Drosophila melanogaster: one gene and its partner. The protein of the gene in region 1 interacts with the protein of each later gene in a pairwise test. Each region holds a gene or a part of one and is shown in the gene's direction. Other genes may lie near its edges.

Evidence for each region.
Region 2: the proteins of Hez (region 1) and SmB interact in a two-hybrid assay, tested with the Drosophila melanogaster proteins (one study listed by BioGRID).

Annotation. Positions count from the first base shown.
Region 1 is NT_037436.4:9,892,411-9,896,687, reverse strand, and holds Hez (hezron), read left to right. Parts: upstream 1-1,944; 5' UTR 1,945-2,017; coding exon 2,018-2,098; intron 2,099-2,155; coding exon 2,156-2,344; intron 2,345-2,405; coding exon 2,406-2,696; 3' UTR 2,697-2,907; coding exon of another isoform or gene 2,908-2,979; intron 2,980-3,033; coding exon of another isoform or gene 3,034-3,170; intron 3,171-3,223; coding exon of another isoform or gene 3,224-3,368; 3' UTR 3,369-3,500; downstream 3,501-4,277. Other genes in the region: CG6707 (uncharacterized protein), read left to right, coding at 53-234, 300-509, 566-730, 812-928; CG6709 (uncharacterized protein), read left to right, coding at 2,908-2,979, 3,034-3,170, 3,224-3,368. UniProt on the Drosophila melanogaster protein: May have an accessory function in the survival motor neuron (SMN) complex.
Region 2 is NT_033779.5:10,424,765-10,428,495, reverse strand, and holds SmB (small ribonucleoprotein particle protein SmB), read left to right. Parts: upstream 1-1,868; 5' UTR 1,869-1,999; coding exon 2,000-2,002; intron 2,003-2,371; coding exon 2,372-2,968; 3' UTR 2,969-3,013; downstream 3,014-3,731. Other genes in the region: KdelR (KDEL receptor), read right to left, coding at 687-1,325; Wdfy2 (WD repeat and FYVE domain containing 2), read right to left, coding at 3,224-3,504, 3,566-3,731. UniProt on the Drosophila melanogaster protein: Plays a role in pre-mRNA splicing as a core component of the spliceosomal U1, U2, U4 and U5 small nuclear ribonucleoproteins (snRNPs), the building blocks of the spliceosome. Involved in germline establishment and development.

The DNA of each region.
Region 1 (4,277 bases):
GGGTCTTAACAATATTATAAGTAGTTAATAATACTTTGCAATGGAATTTTAGGCAATGGAGCACCGACCGCAGTGCCTTGCATTGGACCCGATGAGCTGCCGCCGCCGTATCAGCAGAGTACCAACACCGGAGGCGTCCCGATGGTCACCTGTCGGGTATGTCAACACATGATTGACATCACCACGAAGCGGGAGCAGCACGTGGTCAAGTGCACCCACTGCAATGAGGCTACTGTGAGTAATTCTAAGCAGATTCTTTGAATCCAATTGTAACTTAATACGCTTTTGGCTATCAACAGCCCATTCGGAACGCTCCAGCGGGCAAGAAGTATGTTCGCTGCCCATGCAACTGTTTGTTAATCTGCAAGAGCTCGTCGCAGCGAATCGCTTGTCCAAGGCCCAATTGCAAGAGGATCATCAACCTGGCCCCAAGTCCCGTCACCCCGCCCGTGCCAACCATGCCGGGCATGTGCCGCGTCACTTGTGGCCACTGTTCGGACACGTTTTTGGTGAGTTATTAATCCAAATCACAGCAGCAGGAGTCTTGTAACGCTTGCTCTTACAGTTCAACACGTATCACAACGCCTTGGCCCGGTGTCCACACTGCAGGAAGGTCTCATCGGTGGGCTCGCGCTTTGCCAACAGCCGCGCCGTGATGTTCGCCATCGTGGCGCTGGTGTTCCTCATCACAGGCATCGCTGTAACTATCGGCACATACTCGATTGCTTCGGTAAGCCAAATCAATTTAAAATCAAGCTGAAGTATGTGATTTTCTAAACCCATATGTGTGTTTCCTTTTGCATTTTTCCAGGATCATGGTGGCATGTACTTCCTCTACGTGGCGCTGTTCGTGATTTCGGGTTGCATGCTGGCCAGGTCCGCCTACTATTTCCGCCTTAAAGTGAGCGCCATCGATGGGCCAATGTAAAGCTAAAGCACGGGGCCAGTAGCAAGGAAGAAAGTGCATTGTTTTATTTTTATATATATATATTATTCATATATATCATTCCTTTTGATATTAAATTTAAAACTAAACACAAGCAGCCAATTTGCAGACGGAACATATGAACATTTCTCCAGCAGTTCAGCTACATACAAAAATTCTTCGTTTCGAGCAAAACTAATAGCAAACCTAGCTAAATTTACGAAAGAAGGTCTCCCCGTTGAAGAGCATAATTAGGATATTAAGGCCGTAACTAACTAAACACTATACTAAAAGCGAATATTTCAAGGGTCGCCGTGCAGCTACCATTCAAGTGCTAAAAGTAAAAAAGGAAAACCCCGATCTGTGTTGGCAGTCATTAGTTATTAGACCAGCGACCGATCAATCCACAGTGCATCTCATTTTTAGAATCGTCAGGATCCATTTTAAAGATTGTACAGTTTCGTTGTTTAAGTGTCCGATTTGTTATCCGTTCGTGCCTGTCCTGCAAGATATTTCGGTATTCATACATTACGTATTCGTTGATACGCTTTTGAGTTTTGTGTTGCCTAAAATTTAACCAATGCACTTTTTCTCAGTTCTCGCCAAAGCGGAGGAAAGCGTTTTGTTGCCTGGCGTTAGAAACAATTTGAAGGGTATGCTAATAGTGCTAATGAAGGTACATACACATACGCGCATATACAATACCATAAATACATAATTATAATGCAAATAAACAAAGCAACATTTCTTGAACAACAGAGAACAAGCAAACGCTCATGCAGATATAAAGAAAATTAATTTAGACAGCAACTGCTAAACTGCGAAATTGCATATATATATATGATTAAAAGGAACGGTTTACTTTTGAAATATATATATATATATACAACAACATTTATATTTAGTACATTATAAATTAGCATACATACACTGTAAATAAAAAGAAATAAAACCACAAGCACCACCAACTTTTTGGCGACAAAATGACAAGGCTATGAAAGTAGAATAGAGTGCCTTGAACTTGACATCGGACATCGGCTGGGATTTTCGATTTCGATTACATTTTTAAAGTTTTTAAGTTCCTTGGCCAAGATGTCATCATTGGCTCCTTGCTTTACTGTGGGCTCTATTGTGCGCTGCAAGACTTGTTTTGGCGACAACATTTCGGGCGAGGTAAAACTAAATATTATTTATTATTTTTATGATTATGTAATGCTTTCAATTTCCCAGGTTGTGGCCTTCGATCTGGGCGTGAAAATGCTGATAATGAAGTGTCCATCAAGCAATGGCGGTGGCGACGAACAGACCACTTGCAATGTGACCATTGTGAACCTATCCCTGTGCATGGACATTGAAATAGTAAAGGAAGCAATTCCGCCGGCTGAAGTTCAACAGCCAGAACCGATTGATTTGCCCATGGTAGAAGCACTCTCTATATAGATATTTAAAAGAAACCCCATTCAACCATTTGCAATTGCAGATCCGAGAACGATACCGATACGCAACCGAACATCGTACGCTCTCCTGCCGGAGCTATCATCCCAATGCCTCGCCCTTTGGTCAAGCTCTGTTCAGACTGTTAGTCAAGCGATTCGGTGATCCCGCTATCATCTGGCAGAACAAAGGCGACCAAGTGGCGATCAATATACTCCGTCAGGTGGTCATCGATGCGCCGTATGCCACGGAGAATATCCGATACCTCGATTGGAATCCCAAGCTGGCGATATGCGTCCAAGAGGTCGTTCAAAACTTTTGCAGTAAACAATTCTAGAACGATGGCCCGTGCCCATGGCAACAGTTGTCTAGATAGCATCCGATTCTCTGTACGTTTTGTTTATCAACAAAACAATTCAAAATACACATACATATAGCCATGACACCCACACAGAATACTGCTCTTTATCTGCCAGGGGAAACCATTCTCGTTTGTACAAATTCGATTTAATACACTACACCACAACACCCAACACACATAATACACGATGGCCGATGATGAAGATAAACCAAAGAAGCACACGCTGGACAGCCTGTTCTTGGTGTATTCCAACTTCCAGGTATGATGAATGACCCGGTTAATTGAAGAGTAATTTTCATCTAAATGATGCCAGGTCATACCCACCGACATCGAGAACGAGTACTTTGACAGCATACTCCTCTCGCAGTTGGACGCCTGGCTAGAGCAGGCCAAGCTCATGCCCAATCCCATAACTCGAACTCAGACCGGTTTAATATACATGCGATACAAGTGAGTAACTACATCAAATCTACATATCATTCTTAATCAAATACATGTTTCAGGAAATGGCGTTTGGAGTACGAAGACTTTCTCGAGGTCCTAAATAACTTGGCATCCGATAACAATCTGGCTATAGATGAAATGAAGCAAATAATGATCGATGCTGGCGTCCCGAATGGTGCTGATGTAGTTATAGTCGTCAAGTAGATTGAATCATCACTGCATTTTATTTATATGCATACAAAAAGTCGGACAACAAATTATTAATAGTAACAATTGCATACAAGAGTAACTTTGATTAATTCACAAAAATTATAGTAAAATATAAAAGCATCCAACAAAAAGAGCCTCTAAACCCGATTGGTTAATTTCAGTTAGTTAAACACTTATTTTGACATAGAGGGTGCCTAATTAAGGTATGTTTTGAGATTACTGATCTGAAAACTAAATACAAAATATATGCGTATTACATTTTTTGATGTGATTCAATAAATTGACTGATATTCTGAAATTCTGCTTAAGCTTATAAATATTCGATGAGTTGGTTGGCTTGTTCGCTTCGCGTTACTTTCCTGATAATAATAACAACGTTTGTTTGGGTAACAGAGTTTGGCTGGACTTATTTCTAGCACCTGGGCAAATATGTGGACTGCTCGGAGCTAACGATGTTACAAAAATACATGCTTATTCATTCCGTATATCTAATAAATATTGTCGATGCGTTCTAATGGCTTTCCGAGCGTCTCATAGCGATTGTAAGGTAATAATGCACTGTTTGTACTAGTAAATTTCCGGCTCTTGACGAGGTGCATGGAGTGGATTTGCTATTGATGCTTGCTCTTAGTCATCCCTCCAGTTGCGCAGCATGGTAAAAAAAAATCTATAGCGTTAATTTTTTGAATTGTGTATGCGGGATTTATACTGTTTACCGTGCATACTCGTAGCAACCTCGTGCCGTTCCAAGGCCACTCCAATTTCGCCACATGATTTGTATTTCCGGATATGGTCATATAGATAAGATTCTCTTGTTGGCTCAGTGAGTGTATCTCTTTGCATCGCCGGATCGCATTGTCATGGATTTGTGTGTTGGCTTTCTCATTTGAATGCATGAATAAT
Region 2 (3,731 bases), on another chromosome or scaffold:
TGCAAGGGGAAACGAGGGTGTTGCAGAAATTTAATATATCTTTTCGGAATTCAATAGAAGTTGTGCAAAACAGCACATGGAGTTCCTACGATCCTGCGGCCTATTTTTCAGAATATTATGTGTATTATATGTTGACATCGCTCATCATTTACTTTACTATTAGCCACACAATAAGACTTAACTTTACTCGGATTTTTAGGATACAGTCGACTTAAGAGCTATTTAATGCATAACTTTAAATTCTTAATTAAACAAAGAAATCTATGACCTCTTCTGTGATACTATTGCGAATCAGATAAGCCTCCGCGCAAAAGAGAAAACATTTGTTTCGATTTTGTCAATTAACGTTATCTCTTACTGGAGTAATGATTTTTTTTTTTAATATTTTTGGATTCTAAAATTTGTGAGTGCAGTTCGGAAAACGGAGATTAATACATTTGTTACATTTTCAATGTACGATGTCGGTATTGCATAGTTTATAGTGTACTTTCGATTTTCGGTTTATTTCTCATTAAATAATTACAACTTAGGCGCTCCCCTCGATTATGTATCTTTTGTATAATATGAACGAAATACGCGTTGTCAAACGGGCCGTGGATCGCTCGCTTGTTTACTCTGACGTCGATTGATGATGTGTGCCGACAAAACACAAATGTCCCACATCTATGCACTTATCCATCATCCGCTTATGCCGGCAGCTGGAGCTTCTTGCCCTTAAGAACTTTGGTAATGTATAAGTAGAAGAAGTCGCAGTACAAGACGGTCTGGACAACTCCGGCGAAGATCGCGATAAGGTCGTAGTGCGACTCGACCATGTACCGGTAGACCCAGTTGAGCAAGTAGAGTGCACGGTACGATCCCAGGGCGAAGAGGTAGTGGCTGGTGATGGACTCGGCCTCGCCGGTTCTGCTCACTAGGAACAGCTGCGGCAGAATGGCCACCGATTCCAAATAGATCGAGAATGTCCACAGCACTTCCATCACGGTAAACTCATGATTGATCACCAGCGAGAGCAGGGCGCACGGCACCAGCAGGAATTCGATGCGGAACGAATCGTGATTGTGGTCATAGGTGGCCTTAAACTTCACGTACATCAAATACACGGTGGCACCGGACGTGGCCAGGAACAACACCTTCATCACCGAGTTGTACAGGCTCACGTAGGTGGTGAACAGATCCAGGTAGCGCGTCAGATAGACCACGGCGAACAGGATCTGCGACTTGCCCGATATTCCGGCGCACGAGCGGGTCTTCCATATCTTCAGCAGCAGTATTATGATGGCAAACACATGCGACAGATCCCCAGCAAAGCGAAAGATATTCATCGTGATCTAATCCGCCGACTTGGCTACTTGGCTGCCCGGTTGGCTGTTTGATTGTTCTACTTCCTTTCGCTGCGGCTGCGTCACGGAACGCACGCCTATATGAAAATGGGAGTGTATACTATAGCAATAATGGCGGCATTCAGTGTTTCAACAGCTGCATACGTTACCAAAATGACTTTTCGCCTAATTTGCCAACGAGTAGAGATGTGAGGGCTTTGCCGCTTCGGAAAAAAACTTGTCAGAATGTCGGCATAAACAATGACGTGGCTGATGAATAAGAATAAGTTTGATAACATGGCCACTGCCTATCGATATCGATAAGTGCCGCCACATGATTTTTTTAATGAAAATTCGACCATCTCTAACGAAAAAAATTGAGAAAAAACATACTGATTCAAATTTTTTCTTTTTTCGTTTTTTATCATAAGATTTAAAAAAAATTTAATTTTTTTCTCTTCTTTTGCTAGGGATAGTCGAATGTTTGTTTAAAAAATCATGTGGATTATCAATAAAAAATTTATATTCGATAGGCTCGATTGAAAGACACCAGAAAATGCTGACCGCCGCACACGCCACTCGATTTATTCTTCATGCCTATCGAAAAAAGCCGTGGTGAGGTTCCGGCATCTGTATTTTATTTACAAGCGATAGAATTAACATAGAAATCAAATAAAATGGTAAGTAAAAACACTGTTTTAAGCATCTGACTGCAATGGTTAAGTTTTGTTTAGTTGTATTAATTCATAGATTCTTACTTTCGCGGTTGCGATTTCGTATTTACATAGGCATACATACATACAAACATGCATGCGAATAAATAAAACAATTTGTTTTGGCTAATTAACTATTTTATATTTGTTTAAAATTATGATTTTTAGTGATCTTCGATATTACGCTGAGATTTGCTATTTCAAACTCTGTGGTTTATTAAAATTTTTATAAATACCGGCTTTTTTAAAGGGTCGAAATGGTTTACAAAAGATGGCGCGACTTTTATGCATGCTATTGTATTTCACAATTAAATCCTTTGAATTCCTTTATTTCAGACGATCGGCAAGAACAACAAAATGATTCAGCACCTGAATTATCGGGTGCGAATCGTGCTGCAGGACTCGCGTACCTTCATCGGTACCTTCAAAGCCTTCGACAAACACATGAACTTGATCCTCGGCGACTGCGAGGAGTTCCGGAAGATTCGCTCGAAGAATTCCAAGGTGCCCGAGCGCGAGGAGAAGCGCGTGCTGGGCTTTGTATTGCTGCGCGGCGAGAACATAGTTTCACTGACGGTGGAGGGACCACCGCCGCCAGAGGAGGGCCTGCCCCGAGTTCCCATTCCGGGAGCAGCTCCTGGTCCGGGAATCGGTCGCGTGGCCGGACGCGGAATGCCTATCAACTTGTCCGCCGTGCCAGCGGGTCTCCAGGGTCCCGTGAGAGGTGTGGGCGGACCCGCCCAACAGCACATGGCTCCGATGGGACGAGGAGTGCCACGAGCACCGATGATGGGTGCACCGCCACCGGGCATGATTCCCGGCGGCATGCCCTCGATGCCAGGAAACATGGGACGCGGTGCTCCGCCACCGATGCGCGGACCGCCGCCCAGCATGATCCGTGGAGCACCACCACCGGGCAGGGGTGGCTATTAAGTATAAAGTACAATCTAATAAAAACTCATTTAGAAAACACCACTTAATCGATGGATTCGTGTATTTATGTGTTGAATGTAAGCATACGTACATACAATGATTATTGCTTTACATCAATTATATGAGAACCTAAGCAGCAGGGACTGGATTTGGTCGTTGCCAGCCACATCGTTCGTTAATTGGGTGTTCCAGTTAAGACCGAAACGCCTCGTGAATGATTATACCTTTGGTACGTGCGTGTGCGTACAGGATGTTTTATGCCCAGATGTTGGAGAGATCCCAGATCTTGATGAGCCTGTCCTGGCCCACTGTCAACAGGCGCTTTCTGTCCTCGTCCAGGTCCATGTAGACGATCGAATGCTTGGCGTCATTGAATGAAGCCAGCGAGGGGCGCTCGACTGTCTGAAGTTGTTTGTAGCACGGATCACAGGTACGCACATCAAACTCGAAGCCCATTATGGGTATGTTAATGCGATTGGTGGAACAGTTGTCGCACACGGCTTTGCCGCAGTGGCGACAATGATGCTGTCGTATTCCTGACAGTCAGAAATTACTTGTAAAACAAAGAGTAACTCAAGTGTAAGCTATTTATCTCACCCAGCTGCTTTTGATCCATCATTGAGCGGAAGTTCCAGAAGAAGGGCCTGGAGCAAAGCTGACAGTTGTTGGTATCCACCCAGCCAGGAACCTCTTTCCGCATTGCATTCATTTCCCAAAAAACCACTACTGAATCTTCGCCACAGCTTATCAGTTGTTGCGTGTG